Linked DNA regions of Lepisosteus oculatus. The protein of the gene in region 1 purifies or fractionates together with the protein of each later gene. This does not show direct contact. Links are inferred from orthologs where the notes say so. Each region holds a gene or a part of one and is shown on either strand. Other genes may lie near its edges.

Region 1 (9,443 bases):
TGCCATATCCAATGGCGCGTGTTGATAGCGCAGGGCCCACGTCTCTCGGATCAGGGCTCTGCAACAGGTCTGGGCACCTGCAGAGGTGAACAGCTTTGTTCTTCTGGTCAGTTAGTCTGTCCAGCTGGTCCTGGAGAGCCCCAGTACTGCTCAACTTCTTTTTAAAGACTGTAAGACAACACTGACCAAGCAAGTAATCTGTTCAATTAACAGAGACCCAGCAGCTCTATCACCCTTTAACTCACAGCTGGCAACCCAGTGGAGCTCAGCAGGTGTGAGCCTGGCGAATACCTGGATGCGAGACCTCCTGGGAAAGCTCAGGTTGCTGCTGAAGAGGTGTTAGTAGGGGGCGCTCACCCTGCGTTCTGTGTGGGTCTGTGACGGGGACACCAAACTGTAAATGGGCACCGTCTTTCGGATGAGACAATAAACCGAGGTCCTGACTCTCCGTGGTCATTTAAAATCCAAGGGTGTTTCTCAAAAAGAGTAGGGGTGTTACCACAATGTCTTGATCAAATTTCCCCCTGGTCTTTACCAGTCATGGCTTCCCAATAAGCCTCATCACTCTGCTCTCCTCCCTACTGAGAGCTGGTGTGTGGGGAGCAGCCTGGAGCACTCTGGCTGCCACCACATCATCCATGTGGTGGTGGAGGGGATCCCCATTACCTGCAAAGCACTGAGTACAGTGTCCAGAAAAGAGCTATATAGGTGTAAGGATATCATTAATATAACTAATCCCTGAAATCTGAGAAGTACATAGATTTTAGTCCTAAAATATCTCTAAATTAATTTAACGGTGCAGTGGCTCTATGGCTCAGGATCTGTGCCTGTGGCTGGAAGGTTGCTGGTTCAAATCCCGCAGCCGGCAGAGGAATCCTACTCCGTTGGGCCCCCGAGCAAGGCCCTTAACCCCAGCTGCTCCAGGGGTGGTTACAGTGGAATTGGTCCATATCTTCAGAAACTGCTTATTTTATGATGACCTATAAAACAACTTGCTGGGGTGGGGCTCCCCCGGCCCAAGCAGGGAGCCCCGTGGTGTGAAGTGTCATCAGACCTACCAGGTATAGATTTGCAGCTCGCTGGAGGGCACGTTTCCCCTGGCGAACTCGTCCATTCTGTGGTGTCTGCCGTTGTTCGTGGTGAACACCCGCAGCAGCAGCGGGCAAGTCTGCAAACAAAACAACAAAAATAAGTACCTAGCTTTTTTCAGTTGCGGGAAACCGATAGGTGGTCTCAAGCGTGGTATCTGCTCACCATCGTGTTTCACAAAAGATGCATTACAAACTTGCTAGCTACATCTACATTCATCGCGTTGTAAGTAAATAAATGACCTTTAAGTATATTTTGCTCACTAAGGAAAGAAAGTGAGAAAAACATATACTTTATCGCCGTTTTCTCAACTCGTATTGCTTCGCATCGCACACGTTTGGCAGCAATTAGGAAGAGAAAGTAAATCGTTTTAACTGAAAACTCAATAAGTCTCACTGTCTTTGAGGGAGACACTGTACAACTACCCAAAATGCGAAGAAACACGAAATGAAAACACAGTTTTACACAGCACATACCTACTGAAGCGTTTAATGGAGACCAACACAACACCGTTCCACACATTTCCAGAAAACAAAATACAAGGCACCACTCAAACCGTGCGTGCGCATCTTCGATAGACAAAAACGGCTTAACACAACTCACCTTTTCTCTATCGACGGGCTTTTCGGGTTCTTTCTTGATTTCTTCCTGAGTGACTCGAGATTCAACAGCCATTTTCCCAGAAAGCGCCCCCGCGTCTTCACGCCGACCCCGTACAAACACAAGTATAACTTCCGGTTCAACCCACGGGTCGTGATGACGTAACAGGATACGTAGCCCGCGAATGAGCTTAAAGGCTATGGAGCCAATCAAAATGCGACTTCTCCGTATCGTATAATGACTAAAATAGGCGCACACCCTTTTTATTCTGAAGTGCTTAGGTTAAAGGTGATTATTTCTAACAGTAAGAACATGACAGCTGTGCGGACCTTATATAATAATAACAATAATAATAATAATAATAATAATAATAATAATTGCTTACACTTATATAGCGCTTTTCTGGACACTCCACTCAAAGTGCTTTACAGGTAATGGGGATCCCCTCCACCACCACCAGTGTGCAGCCCCACCTGGATGATGCGACAGCAGCCATAGTGCGCCAGAACACTCACCACACACCAGCTATCAGTGGGGAGGAGAGCAGAGTAATGTAGCCAATTCATAGATAGGGATTATTAGGAGGCCATGATTGGTAAGGGCCGATTGGAAATTTTGGCCAGGACACCGGGGTTACACCCCTACTCTTTTCGAGAAATGCCCTGGGATTTTTAATGACCACAGAGAGTCAGGACCTTGACTATACTGGGGCATTAAGACCCACATGGACCACAGGGTGAGCGCCCCCTGTTGGCCCCACTAACACCTCTTCCAGCAGCAACCTTAGTTTTTCCCAAGAGTTTTTCCTTATCTTTACTTATCTTGTTAAATCTTTTTTGTAAAGTGCAGTTGTATTACAGTATGTACCATTGAAGATGTTATTAATATGTCATATTGTTGGTGTTTCCATTATTTTGGTAGTTGCGTGTATTTGACTTTGCTTCTTTAAAGAGAAGGCTAAATAAGATTCCCAGGTCAATTTGCTTTTAATAACCAAACAAGCCTCCTTTTGCCCGTATCCATTCTGTTCTTGTGTTTATTTTACCTGTGTCGAGACTTTCAATGTGTGCTTTCAAGATATTCCAGCCCAGGCCATTCCTTAGGGCTTGTGTGCTACAGTAGGTGTCCGCTTTCCTGCTTCTGTGAAAAATACGTCCATCTCTTCAGTTTTGAACGGAAGGTTTTTACTGGCTGAGATCATCCAAGAGTCACTCATTAAAAAAAAATGATATTAAGCAATCCGTAGATGAAGCAATTCAACACTCTGTGGAACTGATAGAGGTATTTATTATGTTTTATTCAGTACTTCAACATTTTGAATTTTATTAATGCACTGAGACACTCTGGTCTGTAGAGAGATAAGAAAAGAATATCTGCTCTGCTTTTTTTTCCTTTCCATACTGTACCTCTGGTTTACAAAGAGGGAGGAAACATATTTACAGTCAGACCCCCCCCCCCCCCCGACTGTACTGCGGCTCTTTGACTGTAACTCCTGACGGGCTGAGTCTGCGAACCTGTGTCGTGTTTCCCAGTGGGACCTCATAACGGGTCCACGGGTCACAAAGATAATAGCTCACTTTCTAACACAACGCGGTCTTCCAGCTGATCCGCATCACTACCAGGAGATATAATCCGACGTAATTCAGGCGCAAACACGTCTGTCACACTGAATTCCTCAGCTCTCCTTGTAGCTGTACATCTAGCAAGATCTGCTCATGCAACGCGTGACGAACCGGATCGCAGCGCTATTAAAAGGAGCTGAGAGACACTGGGGACTGTGGTACAGAGGGTCAGTGGGAAGAAATTATAAACAACAAAACTGTCACTTGGAAGAAGCTGTCACAAACTAGCCGATTCAGAAGAGGCTGTCCTGGTGACCAGGCTATTCAAATCTAATCTGGATGAGTTAACTCAATGGTGTTTAAAGCGCTCTGTGCGTGAATTAATATGCGTGATAATTATGTGGATGTTTGGACGTGTTTTAAAACAATACAAAACGGTTCGTCCTTAGATTTACTGTCCAGAGCGCAATGACAGCATTGAAACAAGGAAGCCGTTTGTCGGTTTCCCTCGATGTTAGTCGGTTGCTTTGCACTCTAACACGCTTTTCCAGCGGCACATTTTCACTCCTTAGTGCTCTGGGCCGCTTAGATCTGAAACAATAAGCACCCCTCCAGCCTCAGTAACCGGAGCCTAGCGACTGTTTCATCCTGTCCTGCGTTATTGATGCTTCTTCTTACGCGTTATGTTGGCTAAAATGGCAGGAAATTAACGCGGGTCTTGAGGTGATCTTCACCAACCTGCCCCTCGTTCACTTTTGGGGTTGCCGCTCCTAGTGCATGTTTGTTTTTCCTTCATTTATTACGTCTAAGACTGGGTTTTAATTGTACTTTGGCTACTGGGGCCTTGTACGTTTAACCAAATGTACAGTCACCTGTAGCTATGAACTGAACGTTTAGTTATCTGTAGCTGACGCGATTTCTATAGCCAACAACTGATTTTTAAGATCTGCTCAGGCTGAATAACCCCCCGAAGAAGGCTCAACAGCCGAAACGTTGTGTTGTCTTCCTTCTCTTTTCAGCCGGGAATGAACCTAAAACTTGTTCCTTTGCGGCTCAATAACGACTTCAGCCTAAACACTGGGATTTGTGTGTGTGTGTGGGGGGGGGTGACAAAACAGAAAGACACACATTCGGGCGTGTTGCCAGTCGGCTTCCTGGCTTCCCGGGGCGCCCTGCGCGTCTGTGGGGTTTTTGGTTGTTTTGTTTTTTTTTTTCTTCTTGGGTCACGAAGCCGCGCTCGAGCGCTAGAAGCGCCCCCCAGTCCGCGAGCGCGCGGGCCGCTGACGTGATCCGGGGGCGTCACGTGCTCCCCCTGGAATGCGAGCGATGCAGAAAGTGTCCAACTGAGCACAGCGTCCTAATTCAGCCCACTGTAGGGAGAAAATGGAGCCTCATACCGGCGTGAGCCCCGGCCGCAGGCACTGAGCTGAGCTGGGTGGCTGAAGGACAGCCCCGTTCACGATAGCAGCAGCAGCAGCAGATAAGGTAACTTTCCCCTTCTCCTGATGCATTTCTGTTTGTTTGTTTGTTTGTTTGTTTTTAGAGAGTTTACCGTTACTTTTTCTTACAATGCACGCGTTTTGCTGTTGCGAGTGGTTGCTATGCTCCCGCGTCTGGGAAAGGTGCAACTTTTCGATTTTTTTTCGGCGGTTCGATGATTTTTTTTTTAATTTTAAAAATCGTAAATGTATTTCTGTTCTCGACAGCCGATGTGGGGTGCGGGTAGGGGCGTTCGTCTTCAACTGAAGGCGCGCACGCACGCACATGCCAACATATATAGAAGGGGGGGGGTGGCCGATGAAACTTCAAAGTCTCCCTAAGGTGGAATGTCGGGCTCCTTCTCCGGACCTGCGTTCCAGTCACTCCAATCAGGACCAGATCGCAAACTTTCAGCCCCAACTCGAACAGGCTCTGTGAAGTTTTTTTTCTTAACTTTTTTTTTTTTGGAGGGGGGAACGACGTTAACTAGGGATCTGCCATCTAAATAAAAGACACGCGGCTTGCAGAAGGGGCTGGGGAGGCAGCCAGCGCTCCGAAGGACCGAGACGAGCCCGTGAGACGATGGTAAGGTGTCGGAGGGGTTTTCATCGTTTTGTCGAGAAGGAGGTGGGGAGAAGAGAGCACAGCCAGTAATGATTATGTTTTGTCATATGCAAGTCGAAGTTCCGAAAAACGGCAGCAGAGCTGAGTGCCTAAAACGTTTTCAATGTGCCGATTTTTTTTTCTTGGCAGAGAAATTAAACGAGGGGGCAGATCGTGTAATTCCCCGTCTGTCGGTGCCCGTGGACGTGTATATACTCTGTATCGGTTGATGGGTTCAGCGCAGCGTCTGCTTCTGTCTTGTACATTTTTAACATTTTTCGGGTTGCTACAAAGCTGACACTGTTACCACGGTTTAAATGGGCACCGTCGTCTCTTGCATGTGTTTCCCAGCGAGCTGCTGCACATATCGTGCCTGCCGCCCGCTGCCCCTGTCTCTCGATTCTCATGAACTCCGCCGTCTGTATGACAGACTTCAAAACCCGTTTACAGTCTGGTCGGTATCCGAGTGTAAGTCTCTCGAAAAGCAGATGTTACAGGATACAGCTGGGTGTTGTTTTAAGAGGCACAAAGATGAACTTGACCGTCCCACCACTGTGTGTGAACTGTGAACTGGGAGGTTGTGAAACATTGTTGTCGCGTCCATGTCCTTCCCAGCGGCCACGCTGTTTGTGTTGTTGATTGAACTGCAGAGTCGGGTTCAATTCGACTGCGGTGGCCGGACACCTCCGCGTTCGTTATCCTTTCCATTATTGTGCGATATTGCACTTATTGCAAAAAGGTATCGATAGACGTCTATAAAAGCTCAGCGTTTTACTTCAGAAGCATCCCTGTAATTTATCAGATTGATCAGGGTTTTTTTTTAATTTAGTCGCATTAGAGGTAGTGTAAGCTGCAGGCAGCCGCATGGTTTTCAGGAGAGGTGTGTCTTATATTTATTATAAAGACGTGTCAAGATCTCCTGCCCACGTTCCGAACTTTTTAAACAAGTTGCATATTATTTTCTTTCTCCGTTATACAGAACACGCCTTTTTTTTCTGGAAATGATGCTGGAGATGGAAGAAATCCAGAATGTTCCTTACCAATGACATTTTAGGGTGTTTAAAATGTTAGCACGCTGCAGTATGAGGTAGTTTTATCGCGCACCTAATGTAGGAACAACACAGCTGTCCAGGAGGCGCTGCTGCAGAAGCGTGCTGGGAAGCAGCGGGTTAGAAGGGGCTCTCACGGCGTCTCGCAGGGCGGTGCAGGTGGTGCTGCCGAGTCCCCCAGATCCCTCCCCCCCCAGGAGGGGTGATGGGGTGTGGCCACGGCTGCAGACCTGACCGGCGGCGGCCGGGCAGTCGGTCCGTGACGGGCCCTCGGCTTTAGTGTTGCCGGGGCTCTGTGACAACGTGCGCGGCCAGCAGCTCCATCCCCCTGCAGCTCCCAGCTGGCAGCCCCACTGGAGCCCAGCAGTGTGAGCCTGGCCAGTACCTGGATGGGAGACTCCGGGGAAAAACTAAGGCTGCTGCTGGAAGAGGTGTGAGTGGGGCCAGCAGGGGGCGCTCACCCTGCGGTCTGTGTGGGTCCTAATGCCCCAGTATCGTGATGGGGACACTGTACTGTAAAAAGCCACTGTCCTTCGGGTGAGACGTTAAACTGAGGTCCTGACTCTGTGGTCATTAAAAGTCCCAGAGTGTTTCTCACAAAGAGTAGGGATGTCTCCCCCCGGTGTCCAGGCCAAATTTCCCCCGGCCTTTACCAATCATGGCCTCCTAATAATCCCCCTCTCTGAACTGGCTTCATCACTCTGCTCTCCTCCCCACTGAGAGCTGGTGTGTGGGGAGCGTACTGGTGCATCATCCAGGAGGGGCTGCACACTGGTGGGGGTGGAGGGGATCCCCATGACCTGTAAAGCGCTTTGAGTGGAGAGTCCAGAAAAGCGCTGTAGAAGTGTGAGGAGCTATGAATTATTATTGTCCATCGGAGTGGTGTCCCCTCAGTCCCTCTGGGGACATGGGCAGTGGCAGTGGAGCTCCCCTGCAGAGCCTGGGGGAGCCTGTGCCTTCGGGTCACCCTCCCACAGGGTCCGCAGGACTCGGCTGGTATGTGGGGGGGCAGGTCCGTCCCCGGGGCCCAGCGCCCGGTCCTGCCGGGTCAGGCTCCGGGTCGGTGCGGACCTCTGACAACGGGTGGACCGCCCAGGCTGTTATCTGCTCTGGGGTCTTTGAAATAACGTAGCCATCACCTGGGTGTGACCCCGTGCTCCCGCCTTCGTCCACGTGAGATTTCATTAGCGATCAAGATGAAGCAGTTGGAGATTTTTACCTCTAACGAGCGTGAGGGGAGGGGAGTTGATTTTCACAAAATCGGATGCGTCTCGCCTCTCGGTTAGCTCCGCTGACGAACAGACTTCGCGTGACAAGCGAAGGGTCCACCCCCGGCGCCCGTCAGCAGGATACAGTATGTCTGGGTTCCACGTTCGGGTCTTGAGTGGAGTTGTTTGTTGTTAACTGCTGTCATTGGGAGCCTGTTTTTTTTGCACAGCTGTTGGCTACCCAGGCCCCTGGCTTTCTCGATGCTGCCTGTATTAATCAGGTGGACCTTCAGCCTCCTCAGAGTCTTAACAGAACCAGAGTGTGTGCAGTTTCAGCAGACGTATAACATTTACACGTAGGCGTTGCGCGTAAAGGACTATACGAACAAATCGGACAGTATTACACAGAAGAAGAAGAAGAAATCTGTGTCCGTTTCAGATGACTGCGTGTCCTGCCACCGCTAAGATTTAGCCCGTTAAGGTAGAGGAAGACATGTTGACAAAACTGGTGTTTATTACCTGTGGGGGGGGAAATGTGCATTTTTGGGGGATCTTGTGTGTTCAGATCATGGGAATAGACATTTCGCTAAAGCTGCAGAGATGCCCATTGTCTCCCGCTGTGTGTTGGGGGGGCGCAGACAGGAAAAGGGAAGGGGGTCAGAGTTGTTGGTGTGGCTGTCAAATGGCGCACGGCACCCCGCTGATCCCACTTCCTCTATCCAGTTCGGGGTGGCGGGGGAGCTGGAGCCTATCCCAGCAGGCAGCGGTGCACCCCGGACGGGATGCCAGTCCAGCCCTGGCCCTGCTTCGGCCCGGTCGCGCGCGGCTCTGCTGACGCTTCTCCCCCCGTCTGTCTTCCCAGAGGCCCCGTGGGGATGGAGCGGTCAGCGGGCACGGCGCCTTCTCTCTCAGGCTGCAGGACGGCGGGGAGCCCGGTCCTCTGAGGCCCCACTAAAGCCTGCGTCCGGACAGCGCGGCGGGGCGGGCTCTGGGCGGCCCGTCCGTTGATGTTGTGGGGCGGGGAGGAGGACTGAGAGCAGCGTCCGGCGCGGGCCAAGCGGAGAGGAGCCGGGGGGAGGGCGGGAGCGGCCATGAGGCCGAAGACGTTCCCCGCCACCCCGTACGCGGGCAACACGCGGCAGCGCCTGCAGGAGATCAAGGAGGGCCTGAAGCAGCCGGCCAAGCTGGTGAGCCAGGCGCTGCAGGGGGGCCGCGGCGCCGAGGGCGGCCGGCCGCCGCCGCAGCAGCACCACCCCCGCGCGCCCCAGAAGTTCGGCAACTACCAGACCGCCCTGCGCGAGATCCGGCGGTCGCTACTGCCCTTCGCCAACGACTCGGGCTCCTCGCCAGGCCCGGAGGTCAACCGGCAGATGCTGCAGGAGCTCGTCAACGCCGGGTGCGACCAGGTACCACAGCGGGGGGCTTCTCTCCTGACTCTGGGGGGCTCCTCTTCCTCGCCTGCCGCTCCGCGCGGCGCGGGCGCCTGACTCGCGGGGCGCCGGCGGTGGGAGGCGGGCGGAGACGCTCGGTGGGGTCCGCAGGGTTTGCAGGAGGCAGGGGCGCGAGGCGTGCGAGAGCCCCGTGTGTTTCCTGAAGCAGCTCCAGGGGCGGCCGGGGTCTTGTCATGTGAGGGTGGCCAGGGGTCTCGCTCAGGACGGGTGTGAGGGGAGGTCTCGGCTGCCCAGTTTGACTGTTATTAATTGCTTCAGAAAGTACGAAGACACCCTTTGAGCTCGAGGCTGCATACGGCGTGGCAAACAAAAATCGACTCTGTTTTCAAAGTAGCTGTGAGGTTTTGAATCATCTGTACATCAGCGTTGACCAGCCCTAGTCCTGCAGGCGTCCGGGTTACT
Region 2 (9,636 bases), on another chromosome or scaffold:
TGTTAAAAGCATGAAAAAATCCAAAACGATCTACACTCAAAGATGTACAATTAAAGATGTCAGAGTCAGCAAAAATATTTCGCTACTCACTTGCAGCAGATTTTTCTCAAACGTCAGTACTTCACAGTTACAGTAAAATACGAACAGTCTAATGTTACAGGTCACAATTACCCTGATTCAATTTCACCAGAAAGCTCTTCACAGCTCGTCTGCCGAGAAAGAGCAGGCATCTCTCCGACAGGACTGGGGACCTGACCCCGATCACGAGCTTGTTTTTCGGATGACTGCACCAGACCTGACTCCAAATCAGAGGAGTGGCTATGAGATAGTCTTCTCCAGTGAACCAAACAAATGACTGCTTTCAGAGAACTAGAAACAAACTACAGCCCTGCGCTGTACCATTTTTCCTGTTGCTGTATTTTGTGTAGTTGTATGCATTTATCACAATTGCGTCTTTGTGCCCCAGTTCACAACAACTCCTGTAGACACAACCAGAGAATGCAGAGGAAGTGCTGACAAATTCCTCTCGACAGGGACTCCTGACCCCTTCATGTTCTTGATGTGGTACAATCTCTGCAGCGCATTGCAGCGAGTCAGGGAGAGGTGTGTCCTTCACCACTGACACGGACACACCTGTTGTAAGAGCCCCTGAAGCCCTAGGGCTCAGGATGCCATCAGGAGCACAGAGAAACTCCTAGCTGACTGATCAGTGAGAGTCGCTCGGTGACATGACTCGGGATCACACTCAGGAACACAATATTTCCTGAAAATATCCCTCAGATATGCTTGACAGTTTTTAACAGACAAACTGCAAAGATTCCTTGTGAGCTTACCAAAGGGGTATTGAACGGTTCAGTCCCTTATATGCCATCACAATTTGTCCTAAGATGATCTAAATACTAGAATCACAATAATGTCACCCATACCAATTCATTCACAATGCAAGGAAATTCTCTCACACAAAGTATACCTTGGCAGAAGGATACAAAGTCCCAGCCTATGTGCAACAATGTTGTTTTCATGGAACTTAAAAGTCCAGTTTGTGTTACTTTTAAGTAACAAAGACATTACTGACTGACAATCTGGCAGCATGGGTGCCCAACTGTTTAAAGAGGACTGTGCCAGTGAACTAACTGTGGCACTCACAATGGCAAACTTAAAGTGCAAATTGAAAACTCTATGGGAACAAGCCCACACGGCAACCAACAGTTACACAAACACAATACACAGCCTATATTTTTAAACATTTAGCTAATCCTGACAAACGTTCAAAGTTTCCATTCTGAATAGGTATCACACAATAGAAGGCGAATAAATGTTGCCAAGTGAGGTAAACGGTTAATTTGTGCTGTAAAGCAACCAATTATCTTCAGGATAATTAGAAAAGCGTCACATTAGGCAGGGCCCAACGTTTGGACAACACACTGGACCTTAGTGCATCACAGCTTTTCTCTGACGTTGCACCTGTAGTGCTGAGGTTTATCAACTCACAGCAAGCCATTTCCAGTGGTCTTTATCTCCAAAATAACTTTACGTTCTACTATCAGAAAGTGTGTGCCAGGTAGCAATTAAAATGAACGAGTCTGAGAGAAATAGCCATTCCCAGGCCAGGCTTGTGCTCGTCTCGCAAGCGGCACAGCAGTACAGACTCCCAGGAGCAGGCAAGTCCCTCGGCCCGAGGAAAACACTGCAAACCCTCGAGCTCCGTCCAAAAGGAGGGGGAAAAGAAATCAGCACCGTTTACGCACGCAAGCAGAGCGAAGCCGAGATCTTCTTACCAAAATAATCAGCCTTCGGCTGGGCCTCCATCTCCTCCTCCAGACGCGTCGCCAGGGCTTCCAGTTTGATTTCGGCTGTGGAGGGGCCCCGCTCCGGCGGCGCGCGGAGGGTCTGGCAGGGCAGCCGGACCGCCCTGGGGGGGCCCGGGTTGTGCTCGGGGGAGGCCAGCGGTCCGTCGGGGGCCGGGGGGACGGGCACAGCGGTGGCCAGCCGGCGGGTGGGGGCCGGCTCCTGGGCCGAGCCCGAGCCGGGGGCCCCGGCGGAGGCCGGCGTCTGAGGGAGGGGCTCTTCGGGAGGCACGGGGGCCATCCGGGGGGGCAGCGGGCAGGCCTGGCCCGCGGGGCCCGCCTGGCACGGGGCGGCTGGGGTCCGGTGAAGCCCGTTCTGCTGCAGGTCCCCGGGACAGGGCCTGGAGGCAGGGCCCGGGGCGCCGGGGTCGGGGTGGGCTCGGAAGGGGCCCGGCGGGGCGGGGGCCGGGAACCCTGTGGGCCCCACGAGGGGCCTCACCCACTCCGGGGATGGGGGCCGGGGTGACGGGGAGGAGAAGGACGACGACCTCTGGGGGGGCGGCCCCGCCCGGGCCCGGCTGAAGGCCGACCCCGGAGACGGCAGCGTGGGAGACAGGGCGCTGGAGAACGAGCCCGACCTCTGCCCGGCGGGCCTCGGGTCGCAGGGGGCAGCCGGCCGCTGGGGCTGCTGCTGGCTGCCAGGAACACAACCTGCCCCGGGGCCACGAAGGGCTCCCTGGGGCGTATCCTGAGGGGTCCCCCAAGCTGCTGGGGGGCTGGCAGGGTGACCGCCCTGGGCAGGCTGAGGGACTGGGCTGAAGGAGGCGCCGGGGCTCACTGGACAGGACGCGGGGGGAGCGGGCTGCCCCAGGCTCTCTCTGTAGCAAGTGCTGCTGTAGCCCGGTGTCCTGCCTTCGGGCGCGTCGTGGTGGGGGCTTCGCGGCTGCTTCTGCCCCTCGGGGGACAGACCAGAGCCCGGCATGGGCCCCGATAATATAGGAGGTTTGCCCGCCGCTTCTCCGGTCTGCCTGAAGTTACTGATGGGCGGCCTGTCTCGGGTGTAAAACGCGTTGTCGGAAGCCCTGCTCGGCACATCGCCGGCGCCTCCGTTGGCCCCGGCTAGCTTACTCGCCATCTCCTCTTGCTGTTTCTGCATGTGGATTTTGGTCATTTTGGAGGCGAAAACTTTCCTCGTCTCTTCGAAGTCCGGGTTGTTGCCCGAGTCCCTTTTCGTCCTGAACAGCCCGTCTTTCGACGCTTCGTACATGTTGAGGTCCTCGATAAATTTACTCGCCTCCAGCCCCAGATCATCGTATTTATCCATTTTTGGAATAGACGCGGCTGTCTCGTAATCAAACGTCAGGTTGTATTAATCGGCTGCTAAAAGGCGAGGGTGTACAAAAGCCGTCTCCAAGCGCAGCTAACTTGGCTCATGACTGAGCACGCCACTTCATAGCACAGTTAATCGCTGTATCAGAAACGCGACATCAGAGATTCAGAGTGAACCCGGTGAAAGAGAAGAATTCAGAAATGCCCGATACCTTTTCTTGCGCCACCTTGATCCTGTCCCGGCGTGTTCTCAAATCCTCCACATAATGTCAAAGAGTCGGCAAAATGTCACACTTCCAGATTATCCGCGTGGTAGTGGGGGGGAGAGTGCAGAAACAAAAGGCACAGACGTGGACTTGGACTCATGCAACGTTTTACACAAACGTCTCCTGTGATTTGCAGCACCGCACAACCCAAGTGCTGGAGGTGGTGGTGCGCTATTCCGCTCGCCTTGCCCGGCCAGCTCCGCTCTCGGCAGGATGCTGTCGGGCTCCAGAGGGCTGGTGATCTAGGCTGGACCCTGTTCCCCCAGTTTACCAAACCTCCTGCTATGGCGCTCAACGCGGAAGCGGCAGCCTCCGAAAAGTTTCTCCGAAGTTTGCAGGCAGGCAGGCGGCGAAGGAGTCCCCTTCTGCGGCGCAGCTCCGGCGCACAGTGAACTCCAGCCAAGCGGCTGCGAGACGCGCTAGCGGAAAATATTTCGGGCAGACACAGGAGGGACAAAAAGGAGAATGTAGACCATTGGACGGCGAGCACACACACTGCAGGCTCTGAGGTAGCATTTAAAGGTACAGGCGGCATTTAACTTTGGCCCGGGAGCCGGAGAACTGCAGCGTGCGAGGCCAGTCCTGAATGAAACTCGTGTTGTGCGGTGTGCAGTCAGCTCGGGCCCACAAACCTGCCGCCATGTCGAACAAGTAACATCATGGATAATTACAAGATAATGGCAATCGATATTATTGTTCGGCGTGTAAGCTTCTGGGGACTTGAAGTACTTAAATATCGGCGCCAGGGTAAACTTGTACCAAGCTCCTACAACCATCTGGATATAAAAAAAATAACCTCGTGTTCTCAACCTTTATTGCTAAAATAATACAATTCATCTATAGAGTGAATTTCATCCTGAGGGATTCCATTAAAAATACACCCTGAAGATTATTGGGTTTACTAGACTAGACTTTCCTCCTCTGATAATATGCCCTGCTTAAGGCAAATGTAATTTAATTCCATTACTCTGTGCGGGATATTGCTTTAAGGGCTCCACAATACTACATGATAACACTTCAAATATTGACACCAAGCGCTGCCTCTTATCAGTCATCATATCCTGTGCCTGTGTTTGTTTTATTCTGCTCCATCGGACTCGGATTGTAATGAACAGGAATTATAAACATTTCCGTAACCTTGGCTTTTGTAGTGTTTGCCATTCCTCATAGCTTGGCATTATGTGCAAAATGTAAAAAGTCCAGCAAAGTCAAACTCATTAACGGCTTTATTTATGGTGACTCTACTATATAATCCAACTGTATCTTGAATATAGTATAATTTAATTCAGTCACATGCCTTATCTTGAAGCTCTACTAAGAGAGTCCCCTTTTATTTTTTTATTCTACTATTAATGTTGAGCAGAAACTAAACTCTTTTTAGTGTAAAGTACAAAAAAACTGTCGTCACTGAATTCTTAGCTATAAACATTGTCTCTCGGATAAATGTCTTACAAAAGCCTTGCCTTTTCAGAACACCGAATCACACTGTACGGAATATAGTTCAAAATACTCAGGGAAGGTTACAGTGTGTTTATAGAAAATGATGGATTATTGAGAGGCACTGATACATTGAGTACCGGTTAAATTTGTGCACGCCTTTGTTGCTTTGTTATAGAAAAATGATATTGAAAACGGCTTTGGTCATATTGCTTATGAGATTCACATTCCTGTTCCGGGAAATCTGACATCTTTTAAGCAGATCTGAGATGCATCCTCCTGATAAAGTAAAGTTGCTGACACCCTTACGCTCTTTTGCCGATTCAAACTCTTACTTATTTGTACAAAAAAAACACCGTTTTCTTAGCACACATTCGCCGATTTAACCTCCAGTATCTGTCGAGAGAATTCTTCCCTTCTGATCATGTCCCATTTGGCTGAAATACAAATGTATCAACATTTATAAAGTGAATTATTGTGATTAAAACATGAATGCTAAAAACAGAAAACATTTATAGGAGCAGGAAGTGCCAGTACAAAAATGCGTAGGAAAACTAGCTCCATCGTAGGGTTGAGGGAAATGTTTCATAGTGGTACATTGAATCGTTCTTCTAATAGGTTATCAAAACCATACCCACAAAAACACAGACTTCACATCCACTACAGTGGTTTGAGACTAATTTTGCATGATTATTAGAATTTGGGTATATTAGCATCTGTTTCAGAAACATTGCACCGAAACTGGAGTTATTCCCTAAACTTTTTTCAGCTTTTAGAAGATAGTTCAGCAGCGGCGCAGTCTTTATAACAACTTTGTTTTATAGATGTTTGAGGAAAAACACAATAGTACCTGTCGTGATGTAAACGATTCCTCCACATTACTGATCTGATTCAACCAATTTGGATTGACAGCTTGTTGTAGTTTTGGGGCGGCAACTTGGGGAACGAAGCGTGAGTAACTATTAATGACTTGAAGTATTCGGGTGACTTTCGGGGTACGCTGGGTTTGATTTTGATGCCAGAACTTACTCTCCAGAAATAAAGTCACAAGAACTTCAGGTTCCAAAGCGTAGACGGAACCTGGGGTTAAAGTCTTGCTTAAGTTGGCTAATTGTAAGTTTATACATCAAGGTTATTAACCTACTGAAAATAGCAGAATTCGGTCATTACGTTTAAGGAAGGAGGATGCACTATCGCGTCACACCTTGATTGAAATAAAAACACCAGGTTCTGACTACAACAGGACGCCTGTGTTACTGTGCTAACATGATGTCACGCCTTCCTAACTTCTGTGGAACATAAATATGCTTTGATACGCCCACTGGTAAAATAAATATCACTGCTGTTTCCATGCAGACATGTGGCCCCCTCTTACTCCAGACAAAAGGGCAGTCCCTCGTGAGTCCATGCAATTTGTTTTTGTCAAGGACTTGAGTACCTGAACAGGTATCACTGCCTCTTATTCTCACTAGAACGTGAAAACCTAAGTCAAACAACGGTATGTCAACAACGTGGTTTACATGTGTCTGGACGCTTTGCAGTAGCGTTTCCTTTATTTCCGCTGTTTGAACACGAAATGAACAGAAACGTAAAGCGTAATAAGAGGCAGAGTAAAATCAAGAGATGGAGGAACGACAAGACCTCTCACTTCACACACAGCTCGTTCAGGTAAAATACTGCAGCTTCGAAATTATTCTTGCACGTTGACGTGCATCTGCCACATACCTCATGTAGTTGGTGCTTCACTGTAGGGCGCAGTACTTATTTAGGGTGATTTGAGAACACTCCCTACTGGAAGAACTGGTCTCATGCTTTCAATACTTTCTAGAGATCTTGTATTGATCATTCTTTGACTGAACCTGTTGCTGGAGAAAACCGAAAAAAGCTGTTTCTTTCCACGTGATCACTAGGAAATGGTAGAACGAGGGTACCAGTGTTTTTTAAAATCATGTATCACACTGCCTACGTGTAGTATAAACAGGAGTGCGATGCGGAGCAGAGAGCAAGCAACAGAGGCAGTGTTTCTGAGTGCGAAAGCATAACAGGAAAGAATGAGTGGCTGCAGTGTCTAATAATAAACACTGCATGTGTGTAACAGTTTCCCCAGAATGCTGATTGTAAAACAATGAAGCTTTATTGTGCAATCTTACCATCACAAATAGCCAGGGATGACAAGTTACTTAATATCCAGTCTCTGCTATATAATAGTCAAATTGTGAAACGGGGGCAATATACCAAAATCTTCTAACTAGAGTACCCCACCCAGCTCATGAAAGACTTCTCTCTGTTAAAATTGCTTTGCTTTTCCACCAAATTACAACTTGAACGCGGCAATTTTCATCAGACCCAGTGCATCACAAAACGTAAACTTGGAAAACGAGCGTCGTTCTTGTTGTCTTGGAGATAGCTCTTAAAGTGATAATTAAACCTTCAGTGTAAAGCCCCAGTGTCAAATCCAATTTGACTCAAAGGGGCAGTTTATTCTGGCAGAGGGCAGCAGTCACATACTCAGAAGTTGGCTAAAGCTGCTTAAGTTTGTATTTCTGAAAGTAATGCATTTTGGACGTTTCTTTTAGAAAATAAGGGTGGGTGTGTAGCACAGGCAAACATATGACAGAGCAAACCATCATGATATCGTGCCCACTTTTTTTAGTCTTGTCTACCCTTCCTTTTCTCATGCACATTCTGAAGCAAATGCATATCACTGGCCTGATCTTTACAGAGCGGGTCCTGGTCAGTACTGGGATGGGAGACCACCCTGTTACTGTTTCAAGAGACCAGTAGGTCTCTTGGACCACCAGTACTGGTGGACCAGTAGGTGGTAATTTAAAAATATACATATTTCAGCACAAGTGAACTGGATTCCTTGCCTGGCCTGAGTTTTCTGATGAAGAGCTCTGGTGCACTATGAATCTCCTGCACACAATGAGCTGGGAGAAAGAAGAAGGGCAATTTCTGTTGAGAAATAAAGATAAACACTGTATTTGAGGGGATCTGTGTTAATTATTAAGTTTTCCTTTATTTTGCATAACCGTGCACTCAACACCCGCAGCACAAAGTAAAAATCTAAATTACTGTTTATCAAAGAAACCCCGTAACTTAGCATCAACCAAATTACTACACACTGCTTAGAAAGCCTGGAGTTGGCGACTGTAAGCTGAGTGGTTCTGATTAAAAAGAACACACACCCAAGGCGTTTCAGGCAAGCTGTTGCAAATCAATAGCACGCTGAAGTAATGACAGAATTTCAAGGCTGAACAGTCAGCTGACTCTAAATAAACGCAAAATACAATTAGTAATTTAACAGCGAGGACAGATTATTCTACCCAGCTTAGGGATGCCTCATTGCAAATATGATGCCCTGTACCTTGTTATTGACATTCTTCAGTCTCTATATGAATCAGACTTGCCCCGGAGGTGCATTCTGCTCCAGCCTTAATAGGTATAATCAGATGATTATTTACAGCAAGCCATGGAGTTAGGTTTAAAGCTATATAGAATGGCATGCATGCATTTTCTGAAATGCACTCTGCTGTTTATATCCTTGCATTATAATTGCAATCTGCCCACATTTCAGTATTATGCTCACGGCAATTTAAATACAGGAAAAAAAAAGGGAAGCTATACAGTCAAATGTTCTCAGAACAGCAGGCCATTTTAAACTGCACAAAAACCAAAATGAGAAATTTTAATACAGAGTGCAGGTTAAAGAGAGCTCACATATGCCCTGGCTTTTAAATGAAGAATCGTAAGTTAAAGAAAAGGAGTGTGTCAAAGTTCTTCTAATTCTCCGCAATCTACTGACTGGATGAGGTACTGAGATTCATACAACAATCACCGGCTTGATCTTGTTATAAATCGAGTGATGACCAAAATACAGAAATGGGCAGAACGGAAGCAGACAGCCAGTTTAGTCACTGCTGAATCCTTCATTTAGAATCGCCTATATAAAAACCTGGCAGGAACCACTGCATGTGCTATTGAGGTTTCTTTCAGTCTTCAGTGTACCTTTTTACAAAAATCTCTATTTCACGTGCGGTATTAAAAAAGCAGAGGATGAGGACACAGGAGGTTCATGCACTTAGGAAAGTTAACTTTAATGTTTTAGTAACTTAAAATTCTGAGATCTGATGGGAGTACAAGGTAGAAAAACCTCCAAATTCAATGACTCATCAGCATTGCTTAGATTTAAAATGTTCCCAGATCTGCTTCCATTTGACTGTCGGTTCCATAAAGTCACACGAGTACAGTACACAGCTGTGGTAGAATGACTCAGTTCTTAAAAGCAGCCAGGAGCCAAAACCTTCCCCAAGTGCGAAATTGCTTTTTCGGCAAACTTGGATCAAGACTGGAACAGAAGGAAAGTTTTGAAGGTTTTTTTTTTGTGGGTTTGCTTCAACTGAAAAAGCAGAGCCTAAAATCTCTTTAAATTTCTCCTTGAAATCTGTGAAATATTTCTAAAACGCTCCCAAACGAAGCGTTTTTTTTTTGCCGTCATTTGTTAATAGAAAATGAACTTCAACAACTGTGAGAAGGCGCCATGCAAAAAAAAAAGCCGTTTATTTTTTCTTCTTGGCCATTTTTTTACTCCCCATTTGTCACTGTCACAAAGTGGACTGCAATCCCAGGAGGCAGGAGCTGAAAGTCGCCCTCTAGCGAAAGCAGGTATGAGTCCCTTCTCATTGGACAGAGGGGCGGACCAATCCTACAATCCCCATTCCAGCACTCAGGCAGGGTCAGGGAACAACTCAGCGTGGTCCCAAAGATGAAGGTCACGACATGATCCGATACAGAGCGTGAGGCAGCACATATTTCAG

The links. The genes of interacting proteins can lie anywhere in the genome.
Region 2: the proteins of lats2 (region 1) and Wilms tumor protein 1-interacting protein purify together in Homo sapiens (affinity purification with mass spectrometry; 3 studies listed by BioGRID and IntAct, with this or other methods). This does not show direct contact. The link is inferred for Lepisosteus oculatus from reciprocal best matches to the Homo sapiens genes LATS2 and LIMD1.

The regions. Positions count from the first base shown.
Region 1 is NC_090710.1:31,920,823-31,930,265, reverse strand, and holds the start of lats2 (serine/threonine-protein kinase LATS2), read left to right. Parts: upstream 1-5,040; 5' UTR 5,041-5,315; intron 5,316-8,452; 5' UTR 8,453-8,681; coding exon 8,682-8,996; intron 8,997-9,443. Other genes in the region: histone deacetylase complex subunit SAP18, read right to left, coding at 1,059-1,168, 1,693-1,764. UniProt on the Homo sapiens protein: Negative regulator of YAP1 in the Hippo signaling pathway that plays a pivotal role in organ size control and tumor suppression by restricting proliferation and promoting apoptosis.
Region 2 is NC_090705.1:41,500,877-41,510,512, reverse strand, and holds the start of Wilms tumor protein 1-interacting protein, read right to left. Parts: upstream 3,985-9,636; 5' UTR 3,112-3,984; coding exon 1,779-3,111; intron 1-1,778. UniProt on the Homo sapiens protein: Adapter or scaffold protein which participates in the assembly of numerous protein complexes and is involved in several cellular processes such as cell fate determination, cytoskeletal organization, repression of gene transcription, cell-cell adhesion, cell differentiation, proliferation and migration.